4 linked regions of the Diceros bicornis minor genome follow. The protein of the gene in region 4 interacts with the protein of the main gene of each other region in a biochemical or structural test. Links are inferred from orthologs where the notes say so. Each region holds a gene or a part of one and is shown on either strand. Other genes may lie near its edges.

Evidence for each region.
Region 1: the proteins of EGFR (region 4) and SLA form a complex in vitro, tested with the Homo sapiens proteins (2 studies listed by BioGRID and IntAct, with this or other methods). The link is inferred for Diceros bicornis minor from reciprocal best matches to the Homo sapiens genes EGFR and SLA.
Region 2: the proteins of EGFR (region 4) and GAB1 form a complex in vitro, tested with the Homo sapiens proteins (2 studies listed by BioGRID, with this or other methods). The link is inferred for Diceros bicornis minor from reciprocal best matches to the Homo sapiens genes EGFR and GAB1.
Region 3: the proteins of EGFR (region 4) and PLCG1 form a complex in vitro, tested with the Homo sapiens proteins (2 studies listed by BioGRID and IntAct, with this or other methods). The link is inferred for Diceros bicornis minor from reciprocal best matches to the Homo sapiens genes EGFR and PLCG1.

The regions. Positions count from the first base shown.
Region 1 is NC_080760.1:47,016,027-47,023,745, forward strand, and holds the start of SLA (src-like-adapter), read right to left. Parts: upstream 3,003-7,719; 5' UTR 2,852-3,002; coding exon 2,674-2,851; intron 1-2,673. UniProt on the Homo sapiens protein: Adapter protein, which negatively regulates T-cell receptor (TCR) signaling. Inhibits T-cell antigen-receptor induced activation of nuclear factor of activated T-cells. Involved in the negative regulation of positive selection and mitosis of T-cells.
Region 2 is NC_080750.1:33,150,814-33,158,554, reverse strand, and holds the start of GAB1 (GRB2-associated-binding protein 1), read right to left. Parts: upstream 3,008-7,741; 5' UTR 2,567-3,007; coding exon 2,495-2,566; intron 1-2,494. UniProt on the Homo sapiens protein: Adapter protein that plays a role in intracellular signaling cascades triggered by activated receptor-type kinases. Plays a role in FGFR1 signaling. Probably involved in signaling by the epidermal growth factor receptor (EGFR) and the insulin receptor (INSR).
Region 3 is NC_080758.1:19,443,092-19,451,008, forward strand, and holds the start of PLCG1 (1-phosphatidylinositol 4,5-bisphosphate phosphodiesterase gamma-1), read right to left. Parts: upstream 3,012-7,917; 5' UTR 2,916-3,011; coding exon 2,699-2,915; intron 1-2,698. UniProt on the Homo sapiens protein: Mediates the production of the second messenger molecules diacylglycerol (DAG) and inositol 1,4,5-trisphosphate (IP3). Plays an important role in the regulation of intracellular signaling cascades.
Region 4 is NC_080780.1:11,022,772-11,030,339, reverse strand, and holds the start of EGFR (epidermal growth factor receptor), read right to left. Parts: upstream 3,011-7,568; 5' UTR 2,792-3,010; coding exon 2,704-2,791; intron 1-2,703. UniProt on the Homo sapiens protein: Receptor tyrosine kinase binding ligands of the EGF family and activating several signaling cascades to convert extracellular cues into appropriate cellular responses.

The sequences.
Region 1 (7,719 bases), on a different chromosome or scaffold from region 4:
TAGAATTATAGAGAAAGTGAGCTATTTGGGATGATTTGGAAACAAGTCATGGAATCCCCAATTTTACCACTTTAAAACTTTTTGGGGGATGGCCATTTAGACATAACCCAGTACAATGAGATAACCCCAAATGGAGTTAAAAAAAAAAAAGGAATTCCACCCACATTTATCAGGTAGCTACTTTGTGCTATGTGATTGCTGGGAGGGAGGGATTGTTCTGATCTCCTCTGAGAACTGAGTCCCCCCAGCCCCCGTGGGAGCCCGAGGAACTTACACAAGGTCATACAGCTCCCAGGGGACAGCACCAGAAACTCAACAAGGCCATTTGCCTATGAGACCTGCCCTGTTTCCATCAAGTCCTGCTCTCTCTGTGGGTTTTGTGATATTAGTCTCTAGGGACTAGACTAATCAGGAATGTTCTGGAAAGCTTAGGTTAGGAGAAAACAGATGGGCAAAGCTGCCTTCCAAGGCATTCACAGTCCTGGTTTGGAGGAATAATGATCTAAAAGCTCAGAAAAGTCCACAGGTTGGCCTCTTGCCCATCCCCGCACAGGGCTGGCGCCTTTGGTGCTTTTTACTCTGCACCACTCATGTTAAAGTCAGAGGAAGCTCCAATTGTGTGTCGGCCTAAAGCAACCAGCTCCCTGCACTGTACCACCTCCTAGGCATCTGAGACTAGCTACATGAGTAAGCGTGAGCGTTAGCTGAGAAGGTGCTCGTCCTGTGAAAAGCCAAAGAGAGGCTCATTAGTGCAGCATCATCTGCACCACCTTCTCCTTATTCAAGTAGGTGTCAGAGAAAAGAGGAAATCAAGTTGGGACTGATCAGAAGGGAAACTTTTCAGGGGTGGGGGATGGAGAAGCCACCCGCCAGGGCTTGATGTGGTTGCTTGGATCACAACTGGGTACCACCTGGGGAATTCTCTTCGCCGGGGGTGGAGGGGTGGGGAGACCCCTCCACCTCCTTTCTAGAGGTGACCTCCCACCCACACAGTGGAAAAAGAGAAACTTACTTTATGACTATTTGCATTTAAAAAATAAAGGCAAATGGGCAAGTCCTAGGAGGCCCGTGTTTTCATGGGGTTTGCTCAAGCATGCCACCCCCCGGCCCCAGGGTGAGAGGTGACAGTACAAGATGGATTCGGTGGACGAGGGCCTCCTGAGCCGGCCCGGGCCCTGGGCATTACAGTGTCAGCTTTCTAGAAGTGGCTGTGACGGGAGGAGGAGGCTATGACTTGAGCTGGTTTGGAGAAGGCGGGAGAAGTGGCCTGGGCTCTCCCGGCGGCAGCAGGGGGGGGCCACTCTGCACAGCTGCACAATTCTGAGCTTTAAATGCGAGGTCAAGGGCCCCACTACACACTCCGCTCCTCCTAGCACGCGCTTCCCTCCCCTTTGTCCTTTTCCACCTGAGGTTTGGGGAGGGGAGGTACTGGGCTAGAAAGGAGAGCCCCTGGAGTTGCCCTGCATCTGACTTGAGCGGGCAGTAGGGCAGCAGGTCTCTGTGTGTTCACGTCAGGGCATCTGAGGGGCCCTGCGACCATGCCTAAGCTGGGTGTCTCTGTTTGGGAGGAAGTGGGAAGGCTTCTTTTTAAGGGGCCACAGAAATCGTGGAATAAGCAGTACACAGAGGCAGGGTGGGAGCCTGGCTCTGTCCACTCCGATGCTGAGTTGCAGCTCAGCTGACTATGGTGGCCACCTGTGCATGTGAAATTTGCCCAGTGCACTGTGCAGGGGGCATGGGGAATCAGGCTTAGTCACCCCTGTCAGGAGAGGGAGCTCGGGCCCTGAGCACTGTGACGTAAGGGGGAAGGCAGAAGTGTCCCAAGGTTCCCCATGACTCACCTGGGGAACACGGACGAGTCACTTGACCTCCTCACCATCCCCTTCCCAACTCCCTAGAGGACCTACACAGTGCACCCGCCAATGCCCTGACTAGGAAATAGGGGCCAGTGTGTTCAAGGCAACCAGTACCACTGGCCCCTGAACCGCTGATGCCCTCCGCCAGCTCCCTGGCCAAGCCCCGAAGAGCTCTGTAGCTTCAGGAGTCTGGCTCAACCTGGCATCTCCAGAAAAAGCTGACTTTTGTCATCACTGATTAACCTGTGACATTATGCCATCCCCCTAGAACGCCTGAACCCTGTGATGCTACCAGCGGAGCACAAGGATCCTGTTATTTTCAGGAAGATTTCCTAAGGCTCAAGTCTGGCTTTGTGACGTTTCACCAAAAAAGCCATGCAGAGCTGTGCTGATATTCTATACCCAGCATAAATCATATCACCCGCTGGCAGGGTGCAGTAAGCAAGAGCCTAGGTTTCAGAATCAGACTGGCCCGGGTGGGAAATACGACTCTACAAACAGCTAACGAGACAAACTACATTCCCTTTGTGGGCCTCAGTTTCCCCACCTATAAAATAAAGGGATTGAACCAGCTGCTCTGGAAGATTCATCACAAAATCCTAGCGAATCAGCATCCTTCCAGGGCACGATGGCTCAATCTTTTTTAACACTTAATTATGAAAATGTTAACTACAAGCAAAGCGAGAGAGACCAGTATAATGAAGCCCTATGTACCCACTGCCCTGTTTCCACAGTGAGCAGTATCCCCCATCACCCCATCTTCGCCCCAGACTCTCGTGGGATGGAGTTAAGCATCCGCCAAAGAAGCCAGACTTACCATCGGGGTTGGGCAGAGGCCTCTCGGGAGGCGCCGGAGTGGATCTCATGCTGTTTCCCATCTCTCTCTCTCTCTGGACTGTCGAAGATGCTCGAAGCCTATGGCACGGGGGATACACACAGAAAGTCAACTGCGCGCCGAGCCCTCGGGGTGGAGAATGACCCAGTTTAGAGCACATCGTGCATCATTTTTCAGGCAGCTCGCTCCTTGAAAGGCGGGTGTTTTTAGGTGAAGATGAGCCTCGTGAATGTTGGTTATATTTACGCAGCTCTAGTTCTTTTATCAAGGGAATGACAGAGAAAAACCACAGAGAGGGAAGTTGCTAGCTAACGCTGTTGGTGGCGAAAGTTTCCATTCCTGCGCACGCTGGCTGACAGTGAGCAGCAGTGTTTGTGTGAGCGATGAGTGGCAGTTCACATGGCCTCGTCGGGTCTCTCCTCCCATGAGCCCGGCCCTCAACTCCCTGCACCGGGAATTGGGGGCACTTAAAATGGAGTTAAGGGGGTGAGGAGAGGGTACTTCCTGTTTCAACTTTCCCTCTTCTGTTGGAGTTTCTCAACATGCTCTCACAAACAGCGAAAAAGGGAAACTCCATAACAATGCCATATGTTTGCAGAACAAGTCACGTGCCCCTGCTGCCCTTGTGCATCTGCTGTTACTCTTGATTATGGTGTAGTCCCTGCACCCCTAACCCCATGTTGCAGTGAAGGAAACTTGAGTCTCAGAGAGGGTAAGGGACTTGCTAAGGTCACACGGCACGTAACCGTGGGGCCGGGATTGGAACTGCTGATGCTATGTCTCCGCTTTGTTCCATAGTGGTTCAAATTCTGGGTCTGTGCGTCCAAGCTAGGTGACCTTGGGCAAGTTGTTGACCTTCTCCTGTCTGTTTTGGGGAATAATAATCAAACAACATTGGGTTGTGGCTGCAAAATTAACAGATAAAGCGCGTGGAGCACTTAGAACATGGCCTGGCTTAAAATCCGTTTTAGTTATTGCCATCTACAGTCTATTTTCTGATTGCCCATAGTGATAAAAGCATGAATTCTGGGGCTTCATACAAGTATTTCAGAAAGGGGCTTAAGTGATTACAGAATGAAAGTGTCCTCCCAGGCTGCTAGAGGCACAGAGAAGAAGGCCACACCCATAGACAGAGCTGTTTGTGTCTCGTGGGGACACAGAGGAGAACTGATGAGGCAGGTTCCCCCAGGGGGTGTTCAGCCCAACTAGAAACTTGCACCCCACCCCATTCTTTGTCTGCAGTTTAGGATCAAGGCCTTAGGAGTTTGAAATGGTCCAAAAGTCAGCCCATCCAACCGCCACCCTGGCATTAAATTCTTCCTCTTTGTACTAAACATTCAGATTCTGGACAGATCTGTGCTCTCAGAGCAAGGCCTTTCAGAGGTTGAGGGAGGTGTGCGCCACTTCCTAATTTTGGGCAGAGGGGGAGTGAGATGGGATACCTAGTATATTAGGAAACAGGGGAAACCAAAATGAGTGTTTTTTGAAAGTTAATATATTTTAAATATTTACATGAAAAGTTCATCAGTTATAAGTCAAACTAATAGATTGTTATATAACCGTGCTGTTCCCAAGATAATTAGAGGCTTTGCAACAGACTATAAACTCATAATGCACCACAGAAGGTGTGGCTGAATGGGCCATATGTTCAAAGTTAAGAATCCCGGGTCCTCTTCAATCAGGTTGGTCTTCATGATGGGAAACCATGGGGATGTCTGAGGGTGAGGCCCCTCCCGATGTGAGGCCCGGCCCTTCTTTCTCCATCTCGCCCCCTCTGCCCCATATACAGCTAAGGGGACGCCTTTGACCCTGGCAGGGCCTTTCCTGCAGGCTGGGCAGGCTGGGCAGTCTTTAACAGCATCACCTTGGTTCCAGGGGGCAGGGACAAGTTGTCTCTGTCCCTAACACCCAGCCTAGCGTAGGCATTCGAGAAAACGTGCTCCAAAAAAGTGCTTGAAAAACCATGCCTGGTGGAGTGGCTGGAAGCCTCATTCCCTGCAGTTCAGCAGACACCTAAGGAGCGTCTCCCTGCTGGGCCCTGAGCTGGCACCCCGAGAAAGGCAGGTCCATGTGACCCCACCTGCTGACAGGGGAAGCAGCCACCTCTGAGGCCTCACCTTAGACATGGGCAGGGAAGGAGCAAATCAAGTGGCCTCTGACTCTGAGGTGCTGGCACCCCGTGTGGTCTACGCAGATGTCCCACTGAGGCCTCCCGCCACCTCTGTCCTGCTCCACATGCCTTCCTGGAGCCCACTAGTCACCCCAGTCCCTCAGCCTTCCCATCTGTCATTGCCAAGGCCTTTGGGCTTCTGGAGAAAGCTCTCAGGCAGGCTGAGGAGAGGCCCTGGCAGGCCTCCCATGCAGAGAGAACTCTGAAACCTGTGCACTGGCTTCAGCCCCTCAGTTTCTCAAGTGTCCCCACACTGCAGAGCACTGTGCTGTCACTTGACTCCTCTAACCATGCCATTCTGTTCCCTGGAGTCTGACACTTGGCATCAAGGATCAATTAAACACCAGAGATTATGCCTTTAACCCTGCCCCAGAGCGCCCGCTTGGAGTATCAACTCCCACCCCTCCAGACATCCCAGGTGCCCCTTGCCTCCGGCCTGTCCGAGCCTTCCCCCTCCCTCCATCTTTTTCCTCTGAGCTGTTTCCAAGAAACAACCTCCAGCTGGCCCTCACATCCATCTCATCCCTTCCCTTACATCGCAATTCTAGAAAACTCGTCATGAAAAGACTTGGTTATCTATCAAAGTGAATTCCAACTTCACCCCTCTTCCCAATGACTTTAGAATTCTTCTCAAACATTCATGTGCTATTTGTGGGGATTCATGGAATCCAGTACAGGAAAAAAAAGACACTTGAAACTTGCATTTTTCAGATGGGAAAACTGAGGTCCATCCAAGAAAAGAAACATACCCAGGGTCTCGAGATGAGAAAGGTGGAGTAGATCCTAGGAGCCTGGATTCTTCTGCTTTGGCACAGCCCTCTCCCTGTTTCTGTCTGGTAGGTCGGTGTGTGCACGCTGAGAGCAGGCGCTGGGGCCGGGCTACAGCCCATCATGCCCTGCGCGGTTCAGAAAACCCATCAGCTCTCAACAGCCCCTTAGTGGTCTGCTCACTGGCTTCCTCTAGTCTCCAGGAAGGAGTTAACTTATCTTTTTTTTTTTATTTGAGAAGAGTGAAATGCCCCCAGAGAATGAGAGCTGGAGTCTCCCTGATGAACCGACTGAGCAATTTGATTTAATCTGTGACAGTTTTATGCGGTGGCTGGAGGTGGGAGAGAGGGTATGAGAGACATAATTGCTTCTAGGAATAATAAGAAGAGGGCAAAAGAGAAATGAGTTCATTAACGTTGGCTCTGAAAATGCTTGATTTCTTTCTCTCTTTTCTTTGTGATGTCAAAGGATCCGAACTGGCGTTTGCCTCTGATGTTCCCCCCAGTCTTTGGACCAATGCTGTCTTCTTTGCATGACCTTGGGCCTCAGTTTACTCTTCTGAAAAATGACATGAGTGGAAAAGATGATCCCCAAAGAGAGGCACTTAACCCCTTTTAATTCTAGCAATCAAGACTCAATGGCTTTTTGAAAATTATTAGTAAGAGAAAAGAACCATCATCACTTTCTTATAAAGTCCCAGTAGACAGGATCCAAACCTTGTCTTTATGTTCTTCAGGATCAAGGGAAGGCCATTCATCTGTGTTCTACACCCACCTTCTGCTGGGCAATTAGCAGACACCATTGCATTTAATCTTCCCAGCATCCCTGGGAGGCAGATATTCATCCTTCACCTTCTTGGTGTGGAGGTCATCCCCTGCTCCCAGAGCAAGGATTCAGGGATGCAGGGATGCAGGGATGCAGGGTGCTCACGTATCTCTCCTGACTTCAGAACCCATGTCCTTTCTCTGGGGCCGTGCTACTCTCTCTCCACAGGGAAGAAGAGAGATCACCTAGGAACTCTGGTCCGTGAATGGCTGGCTGCCATTTGAGCGGACCCACAGCATGGAGAGGTCACACCTGCGGGGGGTTGCTGTCAGGAATGCAGGATGTGCCTTCTCCAGCCAGGTTTCTGTTTGACTAGATCAGGGATGCTTTTATCGCATGCTCTGCACTGTCTTATAAACACAGGGGTTCAGGCTTCTCAGAACCTTCCATTCCCGGGGCAGCATCCCAGAACAGTTCTATGTGCTTTATCCTCTTTCTGCTTCTAAAAGCCAGGCCTCGCTGTTAGAAAGGAAGGTTGCCTGAACCTCTTCATAGCATGCCACGGTGGGAGAGCTTGAGGAGCCCTGGCCAAGGGAAGCAGGTCTAGACTCTGTAGAAAAACCAGGAATAGCTGGAAAACCTCGGTGACAGTGGGAATTAATATAAAACCTACTTAGGGATGCAGCCTTCCCTTTGGCCTTAGAAACTTCTTGCACATAGTGGGACAGCTGTAAGCCCATTCACATGACCTGCTTCTAAGGTGTGGGAGCATGATGCCTTAAGTGGGGCCCCTCACTGTCCACCATATCCGAACCCCAACAGCAGCAGTAATCACCAGAACTCCCCCCCCGACAACCGTGGTTGATCAGCGCTTACCCTCTGCCAGGCACCGGGCTAAGCATTTTATGGCCGTCATACCCCGGTTGCTCACAATACCCCCACTTTACAGATGAGATGAAATGAGTAACTTGTGCAAAGTTATATGACTAGTAAGAGGGAAAGCAAGGGTTCAAACCAGGTCTGCCTGACTCCAAAGCTTGTGCTTTCAACCACTGAAATGCTGTCCTGCTTTCTTGGTTCAGTTTAAGACTGCAACCGAAAAGTGATTTTTTAAAGTCATCAGAGCAAACTTCAGGGGCCATAAACTTTTGGGTGAAACTTCAGTGCAAGAGACACGGAGGTCCCGAGGGGTCTCTTGGATCTCAGGTGGCAATGTTTGGAAGCCCAGGTCTGGGGATCTGGCTGGGGGGAGCAGAAGGGACAGGAGAGAGAGGCCAGTTAAGGTTTGCTCAGGTCTCAGCTGCCATGGCCTCTCTTAGGTGGCC
Region 2 (7,741 bases), on a different chromosome or scaffold from region 4:
ATTGTAACGTATAACACTTCAGTCACCCTCTTGGACCCCTCAATTCTAACAGCCACCCTGCCCAGTCTTCCTGGGCCATCTCCATGGCCCAGTCACTGGTGTGTAAAGAAAAGACTAGTGTTCCTCCAGGCAAGAAAACCCCGCCTCCTCCCAGCTAGCTGTTAGGCATATTCTTCCCCCTGTTGAAAACACAATTTAGGTAGCCTGCTGTCTCTCTCAAATATTCTCATGGTTTCAGACTACATTGGATTTGTTCCTCAAAACATCTATTAAAAAAAAAGAACAAACATACCACTCAGCTTGGGCACACAATGAGAAACCACTATGAATTGCTGGCTCACTTTTTCATGTATACTTGACCTATCTTCCCAAAGACCCAGAAAGCTGCTTGAAGGGTCTTACGTTTCTTGAGCACTGCACATCTGATCCACAGCCCACCTATTCCTCACATTCTCAACTAACATTCACAGACTTATAGAAAGTTATAATCTGAAAGGACCTTTAGCGATGATCTAGTCTGAGCTCTACCTGAAATGAACTAGATGAGAGGCATTAACCTTTTAGAGCCCAGTGAGTCAGGCAGATCTGGGTTCAAATCCCACCTCTGGTACATTCTAGTTATGTAGACTGTTTTCTCATCTGTAAAACAGAGATAACACCTACCGCATTAAACTGTTGTAACGACCAAATAAAATAATAAATACTTTTTTAAGTTAGACTTTCCTTTTTTTTTTGGTCCTTGTTATGACATAATCTTTTTGGCTGATTTTCTTCTTGGTTTATATTACATTAAATTGCAAGTCCAAGAGGCAGGGCTGTTTTCCTACTGTGTTTTCTAATCCTAGGGTGCCTAGTTCAGTGCTTAGCATCTTTTGACGGAGCCACAAACCAACCACGTGAAAGAATGCAGTAATTCTCTATTATCACTACCTATTTCAGCAAACATTTTGTTCTTTAGTTCCCCCAAGAACCCAATCACTTAGATCTATGTCTTTCCTAAAGTGTGCCCTCTCAAAACAAATACATCTCTCTCCCTACTCCCTCTTCTCACACACATACAACGTTCTCTTTAGAACTAAGAGCTGAAAAAAACTACTACTTCTCTCAAATTTTTGGAATAAAGTCAGCATCTTTACCATTAATATTCAGGCAAGCTGTGATAGGTGGAGAGACAGAATTTGGAAGGATGCAAAATCTCTGGAGAACTTTCTTAGGATTTGTGGCATCAAATCTTTAAATGAGAATTACTTGTCTATAACAAATTCTGGCAGAAAGTAAATCAGAACTCACTGCTGAGTTGTCAGTGAAGTTAAATATTTCACTCCATTCTATACAAGCAAACAGTGACTAATAGGATTAACCCGAGCTTTAACACTGGGTGTAGATGTCCTTCAACAAGAAACAGGTTCCATTAGAAGAAGTGTCAGCCCCCTGATAGTAAATTTATATTTTAGGGGGCATAAATTTTGCTTTTGAAATATATTTTACTAGAAAAATATTTGCTCCAAATGCCAGGGCAAAAGCATCAGTTCTTTCCTTTGCAGGGGGCAGCGACAAAAGCACCAATGGGGGAGAAGGGGCGAGATTTCAGACCCCTGAAGAAGACACAGATTTCCACCAAAGAAACATTGATTCTTTCAAGGAATTTTCTCCCTAACAGCTAAAACGGTTTAACACATAATCAGCATCTTGTATCAATCACACAAATACCATTTAAGCAACTCTGGTGGCCTGGGAAAGGACCGCAACAAACAGAAATCCTTACTGGCCCCAGCTGTCCCCTCCTGCAGAGCTTGACAGCGTGTCCAAGGCGCCCAAACACCAGCCACCAGGCTCCCCCCAGCGCCCTCCTCTCGCAGCAAACTGCCAAGGCTCTCGGGCCAAGCTCCAATGGCCCTCGATTCAAAACCGCGAAAATGTGAACCCTGTTAAGCAAACGGTAGAGCGCGTAATAACTTTTCTTTCCCTTCTGCGCCGATTTGAGATGCCTGTCTCTAATACTGACTTCTCAGGTCCACAGCCCGCTTCCCGCAACCCACCTCGAGGGAAAGCGAGAGGCGGCGCGGACCAGCGAGAGGGCTGGTGAGTTCTAAAATCTCCGCGGTTTTCCTAGTGCGGGAAACTGAGGACACAGCAGCCCCATAACGATGAGATGCAGCTATAAAGAAAGAATGGTCTTCTCCTCACCCCTGCTAAAAGGAATAATAGAAACACGCAGCGGGCGTTTAGCTGGACATGCCGGGCCCTCCTATGGGCCGAGAAGGCCCGCAAAGCCGGCGTCTGGAATCCAGAGGAGGAAAGTTGCCCGGCAAAGAGGAGGCCAGGGCGTGAGTGTCGACTCGGTCCCGAGCATGGGGAAGGGGTCGAGGGGGAAGAGATGGGGACTGACTTGGAGAAGCAGCCCCGCGCGCGGCCGGCTGCAGCCGCCGGCGAGCCGGCCGGGGAGGGGTGCGGGCGCGGAGGCCGGCGCGGCCGAGGCCGAAGCTGTACTTACATAACGCTTCAACTTTTTCTCCGGGGGGGACTTGCGGAGCCATCCCGAGCAGACCACTTCGCCGCCGCTCATGGTGCGCGCCTCTCCGGCTCCGCGCCGGGCAGCAGACGGGCGGCCGGGCGCGCTCCCGACACGGCCGACGCCCGCCGCCGCGCAGCGCCGAGGACCTGGCTCTCCGGCGGCGCAGCCCGGGCCGACGGGGCGGGCGGGCTCTGCGGCGCGCTGGCTCTCGGCGGCCGAGCCTCTCCCGCGCAGGTCCGCGGACGTCGACAGGGGCGGGCTGCGCCACCAAGGCCGACAGCTCCGGGCAGGGGCCGCCGCCGGGCCGAGGGCGCCCGCCTCACCGCCAGGCGCGCCGTCCCGCCGGCCGCCCCAGCAGCGCTCCGGCTCCGCGGGACTCTGACCCAGCAAAGCGCCGGAGCCTCGGTCCCCTGCGCTCCGCCCTCTAGGGACAGGACCTCCCCAGAGCGTTTTCCGAAACAGACACTACGCTGCACGCGTACACACACACACACACTCACTCACACACACAATGACCCCGCGCGGCGCCCACTCTGGCTCGCCCGCTCTCGGTTTCGGTGCGCCCCGGGCGATCTCCTTCCCCCTCCTCGGGGGAGGCTGGGTCACTTCCCCGCGGCGCCCAAAAGCGCGGAGGGAAGGGGGAGCCGCGAGGGTCCCGTGGGCAGCGGGCGCAGGGCAGGTCCCGGGCCACGGAGGGAGCCGCAGGGTCGGCGGCCAAGCGCGGGGCGTCGCCGGGCGGCGGGCGCTGGGGAGGGCGCAGGTCCCGCCGGAGGGTGGGTTCGCTCTCGCCGCCGCCGAAGAGGGCGGGAAGCGGCGGGGGGACGAGGCGCTCGGCTGCTGGGCTCCCGGGACTGATCCCACTGTCCCGTCCCCTCTCGCTCTTCCCGCGCCGCCTCCCCCACCCTGGGGCGCGCGGCAGGTTCTGAGCGGCCCGGCCCCCAGCCCCGATCCCTCCCTCTCCCGGCCTCCCGGCGCTCTCTTCCTCCCTTTCCTCCTCCCCTTCCCACGTTCAGGCCGGCTCAGGTTTCTGTCCAGACTTTCTCTGAAACTCCGCCAGAACGCTTCCAGCCAAAACAACAAGGGCCGGGGGAGGAGGGGACGGACGGAGGGAGGGAGCGAAGGAGGGAGGGAGCGGGAGTCCGAGAGGCACCCTGGGATCTGTAGTTCGAGAACCTGGAGCGGGGTCCTCGGCCGCCCGGCGGCGGTGGCGGCTGGAGCCCCCAGGGGGCTCCTCGCCGGGGAACGCGGCCGAGTCCTCGGAGAAGGCAGCGCCACCGGGGCTTGGGCGCGGGGAAGAGCGACTAACGTTCTTGTTCAGTCTGCGGTTTGCCATCTTGGCTCTGGCGGGTGTCACTTCGGAGTTTGTACTGTGCACGAAATCAGGAGTTGGGGGGGAGGGGTTGGGGCATGGGGTGGGTTTCTCTACTTGACAGCCTGCAAAGCAAAACAGCCTGGGGAGCCCACGGCGCCTTGGAGAGTCCGCGACCCCGCTGATCTCTGCCGGCGAGACTGAAGCCCCAGGACCGGGAGGGCGAAGGCGAAGGGGAGTGCGCCTTAGGGACCAGCCTGGCGGGGAGGACAGAGGGGGACCCACCCAGCCTGGCGTGGACTGGTCCCCGAAGCAACCCTGCCAGAGTGGTGGGAGCGCTTATCGGGGCCAAAGGATTTGACCGAGTCTGGCTCTGGGACATTTTAGTCTCACACTGCCTCCATTTGTTGCCAGTTTCTTCCACTGACTTCGTATTTCTTTAAAATCTACCCTTGGGATGTTGGACTAGAAAGGGAAACTTACTGGATGTCCTAGTTCTATTTGCCTATTTGTATGTGTTTTACAATTATGATCCCTGGTCCTGAGTTTAACATGATTGATCCTGTAATAGAAATATCTTTTCCACTTTTTTTATGAAAAACAAAGCCCCAAAACAAATTTTAGAAGGTAATATAAACAATCAGATAAAAGGAGATAAGTGAACATTTCTGGGAAAAATAACCTCAGGCATTTTCTTATTAACACATCATTCGTGTTCAGGAGTTCCTCTGAGTCTGAAAATGTACAATTATAGTAGGCTGGGGGTGGTGACAAGGGTCCCTGCACTTACGGAGGTGACATTCCCGCGGTCGCATAGGATAGTAAACAAATAAAAGGTCAACATAAGTACAGATTGTGATAAATGTGGTGCCCTGAGGGAAATAAACACACAGTAAGGTGAAAGGATAACTGGAGTGGACTAGGTCAGACAGAATAAGAAGGAAGTCTTCTTTGAGGAGGCCTTTAGCCAGAGATTTAAAAGATTAAAGAGAAGAGAATCAGACTTGTTTTGTGGAAACAAGGAAAACCATAAAGAGGATTGAGAGAAAGAACAAGCAAGAGGGGTTGTTGTTGTTTTTCTTAAATTTAAAGGCTTTTTAGAACATGAGTGTAAATTTTATGGCAGCTAATAAACCAAAGCGATTCTTTCTAAGTATGTGAACACAGATTTTGCCTCACGTCCTCCAAATGTGTTGTTGGCTTTAAAAAATTCACCACTCCCTCCACTCCTGTTGTAAAGTCCTTTTTAATGGAAAATGGTAGTATAATGTACTATTTACCTTTGGAAGTTCCAATAACTTTTTTATTTCAAATAAGGGATCCAATTATCTCATTTCTATATAAGAAATCTTTATTTTTCCCTATCTTCGACTGTGTTGTTTTAGATTTGTATTTGTAGAGATGAAATAAGGGTTGAGGAGAGGTTGAAGATAGATATGTCTCCATGTATGTATTTTAGGAAGGAAATTTACATTATTTTTATATTATATGCCGTTTTCAGATTATCTGTTAAACCATGTTCTATATCTTTGTATTTTAAAACGTATGCTGGAAAAAGCTATTATACGTGTCTTAAATTGCATTCATACAACAAATATTTATGGAACGTCCTAGTATGTGCAAGTCTCTGAGGATCTCAAATACAACAGAGAGGAAAGCCAGACCTGTTCCTGCACTCCTCAATCCCGGAGAAGTCTGTGTATGTTTTATTTTACAGATTACAGATAATTTTATTAAATTTTACAGATAATTTTATTTTACAAATAGTTAGCCCCATCACTTCTTCAATATGGTTGATAAATGTTGTGAAAGAAAAAAGAGAATGTGCAGCTATGACATACAACTATCTACTGGGGCTTTGGGGGAAAAAATAAATAAATAAATAAAAGAAAAAAGAGAGTCTTATTTGGGCATATAATAGGAGGATCTACCCCTTGGGAGAAGAGTGGTTAGATTTGGAAAGACTTCCCTGAGGAAAAGACTTTAAACTGAGATCCTCGGGATGAGTAGAAGTTGGCCTGGCCAAGTAGCGGAGGAGAACATTCTAGACAGAAGAGAAACTACAGAGAAACTCCTAGGTGTATAAGTCCTTAGGCTTGAAGGAGCTCCTGAATGAAGGCAGCAGTGAGGCAAGTGAGAGGGACATTGGGCTGAGTGAGGTTACAGAGGCAGGCAGGGGACAGATTGTGCAGCTCCTTGAAGATCATCTTTGAGTTTAGATTTTCCTTAGAGCAAATGATCATGTCATCGCCTGTGACCTTCAGATCGCCTCAAACAATCGCCCCTATGGACATTGTCATTCACCTCCGGCATCCCACCTTAACCATGTTATCTTCCAACTTGATCTTTCAAATTCTCCTCTATAATCATCTTTCTTCTCAACAACTGTTGTGGCCTATTGACTCCTCTGCTTTCTCATGATCCATCAGACCTCTCCTTACTTCACATCCCCGCTTATCCAGTTTAAATTTTGTGGTCCACATTTTTAATAACATGCTCCCAACTCACAAAACCCCAACTCTAGATGAACTCAACTCTACTCTCTTTTACACCCAAGCAGCTGAGTACTGTTGGAGCAAGTCACACAACAGGATGAGTGACATCACTATAAATTCGTGTTCAATGACCTCAAATACATCCTCAACTATCTGCAAGGGCAGATCTTGGTTTTCTGGAACTTGAAGCTTCTACAGTTTGGGGAGAGTCCTTTTAAAGGAAAAGAATATACAATTACAAATACAAAATTAGGATGAATATGTATTTAGAATGAAGAAATAAATAAAAAATTACTGGAGGCTTAGAGATACAGATGCCTTTCTTTTGAGATCTCTATGATTACCAGAATCCTAACGTGGATATGCTTCCTGAGTGCTTCCTGGTTTCCCTTCTCAACTAGGACACACCACCTCTTCCAGCAGCTCCCTATTCTCATGGGGACTTGTGCAATGAGGGTCTCCAAGCTGAAGCTTATTTAATTTCGTGGATGTCTCTGCTGCCTGCCAATCCCACTTCCTTTATCTGCATAGTGCAACTAGCCTATTTAATAACTTTTCTCTCTTTTTTTTTAAATAACAGCTTGATTGAGATATAATTCCTATACCAGAAAATTCACATTTTTTAAAGTTACAAGTCAGTGGTCTTTAGTATATTCAAATATTTCTTCAACCTCACCAGTATCTAATTTCAGAATATTTCATCGCCCCAAAAAGAAACTCCATTTCCATTAACGGTCACTCCCTATTCCTCCTTTCTTCCCCTCCTTGTAGCCCCTGACAACCAGTAATATTTCTGTTTCTATGGATTTGCCTCTTTTGGACATTTCATATAAATGGAATCAAACAATATGTGACCTTTTGTGACTGTGTCCTTTCACTTAGTGTAATGGTTTCAAAGTTCATCTATGTTGTAGTATGTATCAGTATTTCATTCCTTTCTTTTGCTAAATAATATTCCATTGTATGGATATACCACATTTTATTTATCCATCTATCAGTTGATGGACATTTGGATTGTTTCTACTTTTTGGCTATTATGAATAATGCTTGTGATAACTGAAACCTTCTTCAAACTTCTCAAATTTCCAAACCCTCCACCTTTTCCATCAACTGAAGATATTTCTTACAGCTTCACCAGAAAACCAAAGTGCTCAGATGGAAACTCCTTCAGCTTCTAGCCATTAAACATGCAAACCTACATACCATCTTCACTCCTCCTACTCTCCCTTCTTCTTATGGCAAATAGAGGACATTGCTTTCCTCCTATGATAGGCCAATCCCTCCACTTTATGCTTTGGATTTCATCCCATTGTACCTTCCCAAGAACCTTTCCCTATAAATGGTCTCTTCTCTATATATCTAAATACTCTACTCTCAATGAATTCTTTCTGTCACCTTTTGTGTGTATGTGTGTGTTCCAAT
Region 3 (7,917 bases), on a different chromosome or scaffold from region 4:
TGCATCACACTGGCTCTCTTTCAGGGCCACGGACACCCTGAGGGTAGCAGAAGTGTCTCTCTCTTTGGTCAGGCTACAGGCACTGTGTGGTACCCTGGCAGGGTCAGCAGGAAAAGGCCAGGCACCTGAGGCACCTGGGCAAGGGGCTAGGTGGCAGGGGACCCAGCTGGCAGCCCAACCTTCCTCAGAGCCCGCAGAGGGTGGCTGCTGGGATCAGAAGCACCAACGACGTGTGCTCATGAAGGGGCAAAGTAGGGCAGCTCAGTGGGAGGCTCCATCTCCAAGGTCTGTGCTGCACATAAGCACCTAAGAGCCTTTTTACCAGACTCCTTCAATCCAGGCCTCCAAAATCAAAGGGCCAAGGCACCTTCTATGCCCTGTGCCTACGCTCCAGGCCTCTCAAATCCCAGCTAACTGATGAGACCACTGAATTTGTACCCCTCTGGCTGACCCACCCTTGGGGACTGGGGTCATCAGGTCCTCTGCATTCCTACCTCCATCCCCCAAAGACCTGAGACACCATGGATTAAACTCTTCCCTTTCCACACCCCTTCCTTCTGTTCAGGCCCCAACATACAAATAAGAAAGTCACAGCCAGAAGTCAGATGTGTACATCTCCATATACTTACTCTATACACTGTTCTCCATGGTGGGTGGATGGGTGAGTAGATGGGTTGGGGCAAAACAAAACCATTTCCTCCCCTTTTCCGGGTAGTGATCTAAGTGAAATATGAACTTGGTCCCCATCCTCCTCCCTTCCTGCACCCTCACCCGCTCCGACAGCCACTCTCCAACTCCCTCAACATTCCCAGTCCAGGGTCTAGGAGGGCAGCCACAGTCTACTACTGTTACTGTTATTATTAATAACAGCTCATATTTATTAAACATTTACAACGTGTCAGGCACTGTGCTATTTACCTGTTACATCAATTTTCTCATTTAATGCCCAGAACAACCATATACAGTCGATATATTACTCCCATTTTACAGTTGAGGAAACTAAGGCTCAGAGAAGGTAAGTAACTGGCCGGGGACACACAACTAATATATGGGCTTCAAATCCAGCCTTGCCTTCAACCACTGTGCTGCACTTATTAGCTGCTGGTCACGCACCTGGTCTGAAATGCAGCCTGTTACCCAGGAGATCTCTACCTGGGAACCTCCAGCCAATAACTGGGAACCAGTGACACCAATTCAGCAGAGCACAGGGAGCACCACAGAAGCAAGGGGCCATGCCTGGAGTCTGATGCCTGGGTGATGTTCCCGGGACTATCTCAGCTCTCTGCAGTGTCTGTCTTCCTCCACTTCGGAATCCAGTTTCTCAAATCACTAAAATTTTCTCCAAATGGCTGACAGGGCGATGGGGGCATGGAGGAGGGCAGCTGCCATTTCTAAGTTCAGCAACTGTGTCAGATCTGGAGTTTGTAGTTGAGGACGGCTGCCTCACCACAAGACCTTCCTTCCTCCTAATCTCCTCAACCATCTGTGTGCATGTACACCATACCCAAGGAGGTCTGTAGGAGCTTCCCTTGGGGGTGTCGCTTCCTGACCCTCCTTCCTCCACGTGGACCTAGTTCTGAGCCTGGCTCTAACACCAGTCTCTGGGGGTCCCTGCAGGAAGCAACCCACAGTGTGGGGTTGCAGACACATCATCTCTCACACCTGGAGGCTGAGGAATGGAGGGCAAAGCTGGGTGCCCATCTGGTCATGGCACAGACACAAGCTAAGTGGAGTAACACTCTGAAATATATGGGGCTTTTCAAAATCCCCCAACTCCCTCCTCCCAACTGAGACCTGCACAAAGGCAAGCAAGCTCAGGCCTGGGAAGGCAAAGAGGCAGGAAATCAAGAGTAGCCGCTCCCGGCTCCCTGCAGCCAGGGGACGCAGGACACAAAGGGCTAGACCCCAAACAGGCTGCGAGCTCTTGAAAAGAGCATCTGATTCCATATAGCACAGAGGCTGGCCTTTCTGGGACCAAGCTCCAAGCGTACGGGGAGCCTGGTCCCTTGACCAAGAGTCCCTGCACTGGCTTTGGGTGTCTCTGCCCACCCACACAGACCTCCAAAATTCAGCTTCAGGACAAAAGCAGCAGCGGGAAAAAGCTGCCACTGTCTTCTCTCAGGCTTCTCCAAACCAGAGGGGGACGAGTAGGCCCGGCTCTGCTCCAAAACCAGCCCTACCTCAACATCTGCCTAAGTTCTACTTCGGTGACCCAAAGGTTCCTTTGCAAATAAGAGCCCAGCCCGGGGTCCCAGCGGCTTTCACCAAAACTGCACTTTTTGGAGAAAGGGTGGTGGGCGGTGATCGTCCGGTCTGGCCCAAGTCCTGGGCCTGGGTGGGGGATGCTGCCTTGGCTCCCCTCGCCTCGGCGGACACCACTCCCGGGGTGTGGGGGACCCGATGCCTGCCCCACTGCTCTCCAACCCGCTAGGATCTTGAGGCTTCTGGGCAAAGCGCCTGGAACACTCCCCCGAGCTGGGGGAGGGGGGCGTCCTGTCAGGTGACTGAAGACCCGGATGCCCCCCGCCCCCGGTGACCACCGGGGCCGCGGCGGGGGCGGGACCCGGAGGGTGCGGGGAGGGCCTGAAAGTTTGCCCAAGTCACTCCAGCGGCCGGCCGGCCGGGGCGCGCGGGAGCCGGGCGCCGACCCCTACCGCCCCCGCGCGCGCAGCGGGCCCCGGGGACGGGGCGCACTTACTGGCCCCCTCGATCTTGTCCGCGCCGCGGCTCCACGTGATCTGCCGCGTCTCCAGCTTGACCTGGAAGGTCTTCCGCTCGGGCCGCTGCGACTTCTTGGAGTAGAACAAAGTCATGACGGTGCCCACCTCGAGGCTGCGGCAGAGGTGCAGCACCTCGGCGTCCGAGGGCGCGCCGGGCCCGCAGCCGTTGGCGCAGGGGGACGCGGCGCCCGCCATGGCTCCGGCGCGGGGGGCGGCGGCGCAGGCCGGGCAGGGGGGAGCCGGCGGCGGCGACGGCTCAGGCGGCTGGCGAGCGGGCCCCGGCGGCGGCTCCTGCGGGCGGAGACGGGGCGGGCCTGAGTGGGGGGCGGGCCGGCCCCGCAGGCCCCGCCCCGGCCCGCGCGCCGGGAACAAAGGCGCCCGCACGCCCGTGGGGAGGACCCCCGCCCGCCGCCCGCCGCGCCTGCGCCCCGCGACCCCCCGGACAGGCCCGGGGCGCAATGGCGGCGGGAGCGCGCGCGCCGCCGGCGGGCCACCAGCCCGACCTCCGTCCTGCGGGGCTCCCTCCCGTGGCCCCGGACACGGCCTGGCGGCCACTGCCGACCCGCCACGCGCGGCAGCCTCGCACCGACCCGGCAGTCAGTCGCACACGCACAGGCGGCCGCCCACTCCGCTGTCCCGCACAGGCCCAGCCGCAGCCGTTTCCTCAGCCCCGCTTCCCGAGCGCCGCCCGTGCCGCGACCGGGAGGAGGTGAGGATGCGGAGCTACCCCCGGGCCCGCCGGCCAAACCTAATTACCTGGGCGGGCTGCCCGGCGGAGGGACCCAGGCCAGGCCGGGCCGCCTCACACCCGCGGCGGCGGCGGCGGCGGCGGCGGCGGCGGCGGCGGGTCCTCCGCGCGCCCTCTCAGGGGAGGGGCGGGGGCGGGGCTGCCTGCGGATTGGCCGGCGGGCTCTGATGGACAGCAGGCCTGTCTTGCCCCTCCTCTCTGGTCCCGCAGGGCTGGACCGCAGGCCGCTCCTGCGACGGCGGGACCCGCGTCTGTCCAGCGCTTTTGGCCTGTGTAGCTTTGGAGGGTCCCGTCATTCGGCCTGAGCATCGCCTGCAGGGCCTTTAGACCTGCGGCCCCCGGCGACCTTCCTCTCTGCCCCTCGCAGGGGCCACTGCCCGCCCACCTCCCGCCCTGTCTCCACGCGGCAGGGCGCGGGCTCAGGCCTTACCTCACCGCGCCCCCCCTTGCAAATGATCTGCGGAGCTTTTGTTTTCCTGGCCTGACTCCCCTTGTTTTCCTCCTCCCTCTCTGGCCGCTGCCTTTCGGCCTCAGAAGCTTCTCTTCCTCTGGGCTGGGTCCTGAGCCAGTTCCCAAGGCGACCTGACCTTTCCCATGGCTTCACCCCCAACCCAGGCACCTGGAGCGCCAGATCTGTATTTCCCCTGCATCCCACTGCCTGCTCCACGTCCCCACTTAACACACTCATCTCACCTCCCTCCTCCAACTGCGCCTCCCACAGTCTTTGCTTTCTCAGAACACGGCATAAACTCCTGTAAGGTGCTTAGGCCAAAACCGTTTGGACATATCCTTGATTCCTCTCTCTGCCTCAACCCCACAGCAGTCCATCAAGTCTAGGTCACTCTACCCTCAGGTATCTACTACACCCACAAGCCCAAGGCCCATCTTTTCTCACCTGGTCTGTTTACCCTTGGCCTTGCCTGCATCTGTTCTCCATGCTTTAATCTTTAAAATGAAACTAAATCATGATCCCCTACCTCTGTCCTCAACCCTTTTGTGACTTCCCATTGCACATAAAATCCACACTCCCTTCCTGGCCCAGCCAGTCCTGTATGGTCTGGCCCTTTTCTCTCTCCTTTCTCTCTCCCCCACTTCATCTCTCACCACCTCCCCTTCACTCTCCACTCTCCAGCCACAAGTCCTTTTTATGCTTATTTGAATGATTCACACTCTTTGTCTTCCTGAAGCCATTCTTTAGACTCGCCCTTGCAATCTGGCTGCCCCGCACCGCCAAAACCGAAAACACCTGCGGTCACAGTGGAACCTGGCTGACAGATGTTGAGCCAGGCAGAGCAGGACAGCTTACCTCATTTCAGAGGAGAGAAGCCCGGCAGAGCCCCCAGCTGATGCCAGAGGAAGATCCAGGTTTCCTGGAGTTTGTGAGTATGTGAGTGTGTGCTCAGGCACTCTACCCAGCTGGGTGGTGACTAGTGTCTGGGGCTGCCTCTGGCTTTGTGTTGATGTAGTGGTAACTTGTGTGTGTATGTTTTGATTCCCTCAAGTGTGGCCCCTAAGAGGCTGAGAATTCAGCCTCAAGTTGAGATGCTTGTGCTAATAGGCTTCAGCCACCTAAGGGGAGGTGGAGTGGCTGAGATGGTCTGCCACCTAGTGACGGGCCTTTAAAGTGGGAGGGAGGTAACTAAAGTTGACCCAGTGCTTATAATGCGTACACATGTGGTCACACCTGATCCTCATAATTACCCTCTAATTAGGGATTATTGTCCCCAATTTACTGATGAGGAAACTGAGATTCAGAGAAGATCCACAACTTGCTCTGAGGCCACATAACTAATAAATGGGGATTTGAACCCAAGTCTGTCTGACTCCATGCATTTTCTGCCTCACAAGAGAGCCACTGGCTTAAATAGGTCCTGGCGGTCCATAGCCAGTGGGCACGGAGGCTAGCTGGCTAATCAGGATGGGTGGGGGAGGCCCTAGGCATGGCTGGCCCTGGGCACAGGGAACTCAGCAGAATGTGTATGCTCATAGAGTGTGGGTTGGGCTGGCTTGGGCTTAAAGTGATGCTGCCCCTGTCTGTGGCCTCTGAACATCCCTGTGCTAGACATTGGTGCCGTGAGTTGGGAGAATGAGGGAAACCCAGCATCAGCACTCCAGGAATTCATAGACATTAAACAGATAAACACTCTGTGATGTAGGGACAATTTTGATGGGGGCTACAGAGGAAAAGAACAGAGGGCCATGAGATAAAACTTTAAGGAGACCTCCTTCAGATCTAGTAGACAAGGAAGACTTCTCCAGGACTCAGCAGAGGCCTAAAGGATGTGAGTAGATGGCCAGGTGAATTATCAGAGGTGGGTTGGAGGAAAGTACTTTCCAGACAGAGGTAACAGCATGTACAAAGGCCCTGAGGCCAGCAAGAACTTAGTGAGTTTAGGAATAGAAAGAAGGTTAGTTTGCTAAGTGAGGGGGAGCATGGGAGGTGATGAGGCCAGGAAGACAGGTGGGGGCCCCTCTGTGCTTATGTGGTCTTGTCCATCTTTCCAGGAGGTCCCCTCCTAAGTGCTACAGCCCTCGTTTAGCTTCTTGTGCCGAGTTGGGCAGCCTGCAGGCCGTGATGCCCTTTTAAAATCTCTGTTTCTCCATTTTCTAAGAGCTTCCCGACATGCAGCCCATACTTCCTTGCTTTTGCTTTTGCTTTTGCCTCCGGAGCCGGGCCCCCAGGGGCTCCAGAAATCCCTGCCAACAGGAGCTCATATTGTCAGTCTGCTGCCGGGCCCTTAATCAGGAAACAGGGCCCCATTTCCTCCTGGGACTTCTGAGCCAGCATCCCAGGCCTCAGGTGCCTCCCTCCACCAAAGGAGGTTCAGGAAAAGCAGGTCACACAGCGGGTATGGCTAGTATGGGCTTCCCCCAGCTCAGCATATATATATGGATACGTGGGTGTAACTGGCAATGTGTGCAGCTGGACCGGCTGGGAGGGAGCAGCCCAGCACCCACACGAGGCACACGCCCATGACATTGCCCAGGCTAGCCCTGCTTGGGCCTATTTCTGTCAACACTCGTGCTTTAACATGCTCTGGCCCACACCACACCTGTGCCTGGAGTCTAGGGAGGAGTCCTAGCCCAATGTCCCTCTGGACCTCATAGGTGTTTATTTTATTTTATCTTATTTACCGAACACTTAGAACAGTGCTTGACATATTGTAAGCCTTATGTAACTGCTTTACCCACATTGGCTTACTCCTCATTACAGCACAGTGAGATATGTACTCTTATTATCCCCATTTTACAGATGAGAAAACCGAGGCATGGAGAGATTAAGAGACATGCTCATGGACACACAGCTAAGAGGTGGCAGAGATGGGATTCAAACCCAGGCAGCCTGGCTCCAGAGTCAATGCTACCTTGCCTCCCATATAGGTATGAACATTTTATTGTGTATCCTCACCCTTTTCCATGATACCCCTACCTGATGTCTTTTCTATTTTTATTTATTTGGTTAAATGTTGTCACAGGTTGGGTTCTTTGGGAGGCAGGCTCTATGACAGAGGTTAGTGTGAAGAATGTTTATTAGGGAGTGCCCTTGGGCTCAACACTGTGGAAGGGGAAGGAAGGAAGCAGGAGGAGGCACAGAGAGTAGTTAGACTGTGAGGCAGGCCTGATGACAGCCTCAGCCAGCCCCTGGGGAGCTCTGTGGTCCGGTGCTGGCTTGAAATGGCTGGGCCTTCATAGCCCCGCCTCAATCAGCCATTGGATGTGGGCTGCCCTGGGAAGAGCACAGCCTCTGCTAGACAGCTCTCTGCAGCTGAGGTGATCTTAGGGGGCTGACAGGTCTCCCAGCAGTTGGGCAACAAGTGCTTCCCTGAAGGGGAATCTGAGTGGCACATCACTGCCCACCACAAATATATTCTTTTCCAGTCCTTTAAAAAAGTTTAAAGTACTTAAGACAAATGACAAACATATTGTACTATAGAAATGGGATATGCTGTTATAAAAAGGAGGAATATTATATGGTTAATACATATTACCATGGCCGCTGTTATTGAGAATCAAATGTGGCTGAGCTTCCTGGTAGCCAAAGCAAAAACTCTATTCTGATAACTGACTCTTTGGGGGAGAAAAATTTTCCTGGGGTTAAATTATAAAAGAAGTTTCTCATATGGACACTTATTTGATTGAAATAGTGGAGAATGTTCTTAACAGATAAAAGCAAATGCTAATGCAGTTTTCATTTGTTCCTTATAATAACCATGTATGAATACAAAAGGTGTAATATAAAAGTATAGCTCAGTGAAGCCCCGTCCACAATTGAAGATAGGCAGATTTATAGACTTGCAGTGTCTAATCCACACATAAAACTTGATCCCTTTTCTTTAAACAGTTCTTTAATGTTTACTGAGTAGTTTCTTATGTTAGATGTCTGACCAGCCCATCTCTGGATCTGTGAGCCAGCCAGCCTGTACCTCAGCATACAGCCAGTACTTAATT
Region 4 (7,568 bases):
CGCAATTTCCAAGTTCACGGTTAATTTGGTGACAGCTGCCTTCACGAAAGGTGGCCACGGTGACCACTGAGTAATTGTGAGCAGCAGTCTAGACCGTGAACAGACTCACACAAGGGGCCTTCCTAACGAGCCTGTTCCCGGGCCCTTCCCTCCCTGTCCCAGCATCTGACGTTAGACGCTCACACACACTTACCCTGGCTTTCCTAAAACCAGGACTCACGCAAGGCAGTGGAGGCAGGTGGTTGAGGGAGGGCTCTGGGGCTGGAAGGCCTGAGTTCAAATCCTGGTTCTGCCTCTTACTAACTGGGAAAGTCACTTTACCTCTCTGTACCTCAGTTTCCTCACATATAATGAGGGTACCCACATCACATGCTTGATGTAAGGACTAAAAGGACACTTGAAACAGTGTCTGACAGTACTAAGTGCAACAAAGAACAGAAGATACCATATCTCAGAACCAAATAAATCTCTTTAAAATGAGTAAATTTTCCTGAACAAAACTGACTAAATTTGATTGATATGAGTCTTCGACGCTTTTTGTAAAAAGACCTCATCTTATATTTTTACTAATTTGCTCCTTAAATTTGGTCTTTTCATGTTACTTTAACTGAATGACATGTGTTCACCTACACTCACTATTTTATTCAGGAGCATTCTGTTTTAAGCAAATATGGGACTAACAGGCAAAATAAGTGGTATTTATGTTCTTCTCAGAAACAAATCTCCAAGCACTAATAGCAGTGTTCAAACAGGTAACAGCAATGAGCTGGGATCATTTCTGGAGTGAGAAGTGATGCTTTGGAGGCGCTCTAAGAGTTTAATCTAGAATAAGGATGGGGTCCCCTGCAGCAAAAAGGGAGAGATCACCTGCCTCAGAGAACCCTGCAGTCAGCCAATTCAGGAACAGGCTCACAGCCACTGGGGCACAGCACGGAGGAGGCAGAACCCTGCAGCCTCCATAGAGAGGAAAAGCTTTCAGGGAAAAGACTAATCCCTTAGTATTGAAATCACCTCCCACCTCCTCTGTCCCACATTTTGCAAGATTGTTAGAACTCCAGAAGTTCCAAAAGAGCTCCTTACATTGGCAGGTAATCTTTCCCAAGACTTGACCAATCTCTCCTCTGTGCCAGGGTTCCCCAAACCTCGCTATCCAACAGAATCACCTGAGGAGCTTTTAAAAACCCGGATGCCCAGGTCTCACCCCAGACCAATGAAATCAGCATGTCTAGAGGTGGGAGCCAGACATCGATTTTTGTTGTTTCGTTTTAAATCCCAAGTGATTCTAATTTGCAACAAAGTTTGGGAACCACTGCTTTATGCCTTAACGCTCCCCCAACAAACGCACTCAGCCTCAAACTCCTCTTCTCTGTGCCAATGGCATCACCAGCAAGTACAGACCTGACTCTTGGAACCCGGGCTGCTCGATTTTGAAACTGTGCAATTAAACCTTCCGAGGCATGTTTCTCAGGTCAAGTGCCTATATGGTCGGTACTCACGAAGCCAGACTCGCTCAGGCTGGGTCTGGACATTTGCCACACGTGCACCATGGATATCAGTCCTTTCTTTTTTCAATTAAGTTTAATATTTTGGTTGGCCCAATGTCATACTCTTCAAAAAGCTAAAAGAAACATCCCAAAGAAAAAATCTGGGGATTTTGAGGTGGAAAGTTTGCTATGAGCCTTATTTTGAAAAACTATGGGGACCTGGCCAGATGGGTTCCGCCCACAGAGAGGTCGGCACCAGGACCCAGCTGTCCAGCCGCGGCCGGTCCCACCGCTCTGTCCAGCTCCACCGCAAAGCCTAGAGAGGTGACCAAAGGGCAGCAGGTGGGGCCAAATCTCGAGAGTTCCCAGGAAGCCACCACTTCACGAGACCCACGCGCTCAAGGGGCGAGGGCGCCGGGGAGGGAGCTCTGGGCTGGCAGGGAGCCTGGGTCCCGGGGCGGCAGCAAGACCGCGCGGAGCGAAGGATCTGCGCCCCAGGCGGGGTCCGACCTCACCCTCCTTCTCTTGCCGAAGACGAAACTAAGTCCTCCCTTCCCGGTAGCCACAGGTAGGTAGTGGCAGACGAGTTCTCCGGCCTCCCGGTTCAAGGCTGCGGCTCCACACCCGGGAAAAGGGCTTGCAAGGACCCAAGAGCGGGGCCGGGACCCAGGCTGGCAAGGCCGGGTGCAGCGAGCCACCTTAAGTGTGAGACGCGGAGCGTCCGCTCCTGTCCCAGGAGGTCGGAGAGGAGTGGGGTGGATTCCCGCCGGTCCGTCCTCAGCTTCCCTAAGCCCCTCGGGGGAGTCCCCCGGCACGGTTGGACCCCCAGGTGACAGCCCGGGGCGCACGTGCGGAAACACGAGCCGCCCCGCGCCCACCCCGTGTCAAGTTTTCTCCCTCGGCCGTCGACCCCGCGCAGGAAGGCAGGAAAGTGAAGCCGGAAAGTTGCGAGCGCTCCGGGCGCCGAGCTCCGGGCGACAGTTCCCACACCCGCCCGCAGCCCCGCGGCCCCGCGTCCGGAGTGTCCCCTCCTCGGGCCGCCGCGGACTCGCCCAGCCCAGAAACGAAACGTCCACTGCCTCCCACGGTCCCGGCCAGAGGCGCAGCCGACCCTCAAGGAAACAGGAGAGGAGCGGCGGGCGGCGCGGGACGCGGAGCCGGTGCGCCGAGCGCGGGCTGGGCCGGGACGGCGGCGCGGGGCCGGGGGGCACGCCCTTACCTTTCTTCTCCTCCAGCGCCGGACTCGCCTGGAAGTGCGCAGCCAGCAGCACCAGGAGCGCGGCGCCGACCGTCCCCGACGATCGCATCCTGCCTCCGAGACGCTCGCTCCGGGTCTCCGCAATTAGCCCCGGACGGAGTCGGAGTCGGAGTGGGAGTCGGAGTCGGGCGCCGTGCGCGGCGGCGGCGGCGAGGCGGGGACTCCGGCGGACGCGGAGGTAGCCTGTTGCCCGGACCGGGAGGCGGCGGCCGGGGCTCGCTCGGGGCTCGCGCGGGATTCGGCCGCCCTGGCCGCGGGCGTGCACACCGTGCCGGGGGCGGAGGCTGCGGCCGCCGCGCTGCGCTGGGGGCTGCCCAGACGTCTAGCTCGCGGGGCGGGGGCGCGGGAGCGAAGGCTGGGCTGGAAGGAGGAGGGACCAGGAGGAGGAGGAGGGATCGGGAGGAGCAGAGGAGGAGCAGAATACGAGGAGGAGGGAGGCAGAGCCAGCAGCTAGGACCACAGGCAGGCAGCCACTAGGAGGTGGGGACGGCGGTGGCCCCCGTGGGCCCGAGCGCTCAGTGAGGGCGGGAGCGGGGGCGGCGTGCGGGACCCGAGGGTGCCCGTAAGAGTTAACTTCCGAGTGGGGCGTTCCCTGCGCTGTCCCCCAGGACCCGGTCCGCGAGGACTCGCCCTGCTCTCTCCGGGGCCAGCCTTCGTCGATCCTCATTTGTACAGGGTTCCCATTTCCCCGCCCCACCCTCTAACTTGAGGAGCGAACTTGTACCAGCTCTGGGCAGACTAGCTGAGCCTTAGGCCCAGGATGGGATGAGGAAAAAAACCCCTGTACTCTGGCCCCCAACTCCTCCACAGCACCCCGGGATCCTAGTGGGGGGTCGGAGGCTAGCCTGGCAGCCTAGTTGTCCTTTGCTGCGCCTTGCTGTGCCAGGTGTCTGAGAGGGTGCTCTCAGGTACGAGAGGCCTTCAGATCCTGTCACCCTCGAAATCGTCTGAAATGAGGGCACCCGACTCCTGGCACAGAGACAGGCCTTGGGAAATGTTTGTTGAATGAATGCATGAGTACCGAGGGAACCCACAGCGTTTCATATGCCGGGAATCATCCAGGGGTACTTGAAAAGCAAATAAATGGGGTAAATTACCTCGCAAAACTTTGCGAAAAATTACACTTTTAGAGAAGCCAGGTGCCCCATTGTCCTGAGACAGCACACGTAACCCAAGCAGGAGAAAAGCCAGGGAAATCTGCTAAGCGTTTGGCCAGAAGAAAGTATGCTTTCTCGGGCTGCAGGAACTTGAGCTCAACTCTCTCAGCGAAGTCTGCCCTACTCCCACTGCCCCTCCGCCCACAGGATACATGTCCTCAGGCCCCATTTTACAACCAAATCCCCTCTTCTCCTCCCAAGATCCACTGGTGACATTCAGGCAGGTTCAGCGCTGGTCTCCCCACTGTTGAAGAAGGGATCACAAACCTAAAGGAAATGGAGTTAAGACTGGGACCTTTCCTGTCCATGGAGGAGAGGAACTGTGCATCCTTCCTTTCCACCCAGCAAGGGTAGGGCACCGGGCTCCTCACCATCCACAGAGCCCATGACTTTTCCTCTGAACTGAGAGTCATTTGTGTTCATTTGTTTTAAGAAATCAGGAAGACCACTGAGCCCTCTGAACTCGTTTAGCCCCTGGGTGGAAAAGGCTATGAAGATTCTGCAGGCTATGGGTTTGGTTCCCTCCACATGTTCCGAACAAGGACTTCAAGAAGTATGTAAAGACACAGCTACAGAAAAATTACACAAATTAGAGAAGGTCAAACTGGAAACACAACAGTGGAAGGTAGAGTGAAGCCAGGAGAGAGTCTTAGAGAAGACCTGCGCACACCCAGGTCCTGCATTTCCTCAGCAAGGGCCACCGATTTGGCTCTAAGCCATCTGTCAAGGAAACATGAGAGGTGGCACAAATCTATTGTCCATATGTTAATACACTAATCAACTGAAGCTACAACTAATCTTTAAGACTGCATAGAAATTTATCCCATGAATCCCCCGAAGCACACAGTGTGTGAAGGTATCCCAGCTCTCACTGACTGCTTTTAGAATAGACAGCACCACCTTCACGGTGCTGTCTTCTTATAATGTCCCTCCACATGATCTGATGGCATCTCAAGAAGCAGAGCTTTGTGAAAACAATTCCCCAAGGAGACAGTGTGACACTTCAGGCACACAACCCAATAGTGGGTTGATCCCAGCGAAGGGAGAGGAACGGGTGAGTTAAAGATCCTCCTGGGACACCTGTGTTAAGTTTGAGTTTCTGCTCTGAGCTTGTGAGGCATTCAGGATGCTTTTGTACCCCTTGGCAGGTACATGGAGTGTACTGATAACTGTGTTACTTGTTAAGTAAAAAAACTAATGGCCAAGCTGGCAGAAATGACATCCTCTTGAGAAAACGGAGCCTTGCCTAGGCTGAGCTATGCATAGAGGGTGCTTGGGCATCCAGTCTCTGCAGGGAGTGATCCCAAGTCACATCCCAGGCCACATCCCAGGCGAAGGCTGCCGCCACAGGAACAGCACCAGGAACCCTGGCTGCATGCTGCTAGGTACTGATCAGAAATGAGCTTATCTGACCGCTGTAAGCCAGGTTACACCTTTGTCTGCCTTTTATGACAGGGTGATGCTGTGTCTTAGCAGCATTAAATAAATCGCTTGTCCGAAGTCCCCAAGCGTACTTGCTAGTATGAGGCCAGCCTTGAACCCAAATCTAGGCCATGTTCTTCTTTACTCTTTTGCTGCAACTTTTCTAAACCTGAGACAGATAGAGACTTTGGGACCCCAAATTCTGTTTCAGAATATCTTGGAAACTTTTTAGAGGAGGTACAACCAAAATTTCTGCTTGGCCAAAAACTTCCTAGATAAAGCATCCACGTACACCATATTAGCAAGCATGTACTGCAACCGTAGTATATCCCACATTAACTCTCATATGTGCTGTCAATTTTCCTAACACAAGCTGTTCATTCTCTTTGCCATCTACAAATGGGAAACTTTTTTTTTTTCCTTCTCTGATGAGCATTTTTCCTCTTGGAAGAGGCTTCTGAGTATTTAAATGAGTTTAATCTTTTCTGGAAGGAACATGGCAGGGAATCCCCAGAAATCACATACCTTGTGGAAGGAGAGGAGAAACTGGAGTTATTTTGCAGGATGATGATAGGAAGGCTTCGAATGTTTTGAGTTCCGTCTTAGGCCAGAGGCATTTGACCACCTGTTTTCTCTGGCCTTTGAGGTCAAAGCAAGGATTAATGAGGAAAAACATCAGAGGGGCAGATTTCAGAATTAAAAAAATTATCTTTTATAAACTACTGGAGCTATCTAAAAGTGGAATGAGCTGCCTCTGAGTGGAATGAGTTTCTCCATCCTTAGAAAGATTTGTATGCAGGAGCAGTGCTAAGGGAGACTGTGAATTAAGGACTGAACCAGGTCCCTTCCAATCCTAAAATTCCGTGGGAACATGCATTTCTAACATAGGCTTCTATTTCAATGTACATGGACTCAACAGCTCTTCTAAAGATACATTTTAAGAAGACACAAGAATGTGGTAACAGGGTTGCCACTGGGGAGGATAATTAGGTAGCTGGAGATCAGGGTTTGGAGGGAGACTTATTTTTCAACTGTCTGTCCATTTATACCTTTGCAATCTTGTACTGTGAGCAGGCATGGCCTATTTCTGTAAGGTAAGGGTCAGTGACCTCAGTAGGTGACCTTGTTGAGGTTCCTGGGCACTCCTGGTGGCAGCCTTTCTTGGTTTCCTCCGCCATTTGCTCTCTTCTTTTGAGTCAAGTTATATGCACTTGACTCTGAGTTGAGAATATGGAAGAAACAACTTCTTTCTCAGGGATAATATGCTGACACAAAACTGCTGAGGCATTCATTTGTCATTAGTATTCTTATTAGTGTTGTATGTCATTAGTATTTATCGTTATCTCTAGGGTTGAGGGTTATGTAATGCTTGGAAAGCAGGATCTCTGTTTTGAACATTAGTTTCTGGCTTTGTTGCTTGTTAATTACTTTGCATCGGGATCTTATAGGAAATTTCTGGACCCTGCACAATGCTTTGCCTATGTTAAAGGTTTAAAACTGAGATTAAATAATTTTGTCCAAGGTGTCACTACTTGTCTCAGGGGTGGTTATCATTAGAAATATTAGCCTCAAGGTTGCAACTGGTGGCTTGCAGACCAAGTTTAGGATACAGATGTGGTTTTGTGGGGCCCACTCAATATTTCTTTTAATTGAATTAATGGCATCATTTAAAAATCAGGAGATTTCATATTTAAAATATGATTTTAAATTTTATGTTTCTCTTGAAAAATGGGAAGTGCTGGCCAACTGCCAACTGGGTCTGCTTTCATGCAAGATGGCAATTGGCTGGGTGATAACTGTCCCCTTCAGAAAGGACATTAAGTCTCCAGCTCTCACCAACACCACCAAGCCTGATTCACCAGTTCATGGGGCCTGCGTGGCTACTGTAAGCATTCAAGTTTGCAGCCTCACCCTTCCTGGTTAAATAATGCTATTGCCACTTTATAGGTATGATTCTCATCTCTGGTTTTCCTCTCTCCCTTATCTTCCTTTCTCTATCCAACTCATTCTTCCTCATCTCATCTACATTTGTTGATAGATTTTGGTCCAGAGGTCATAATACATTATATATCATGATAGACCTCACTTCAAATTAGCATATTTCAAATATGGAGTAATATAAAAGCACAAATTTTATCAAAGCTCATGATTATACCTTATCATTATTATGGTTAACATTCTGTAGGCATATATATATGGTACTGATCAGAAATGAGTATATCTGACCACCTGTGAGCCAGGTTACAC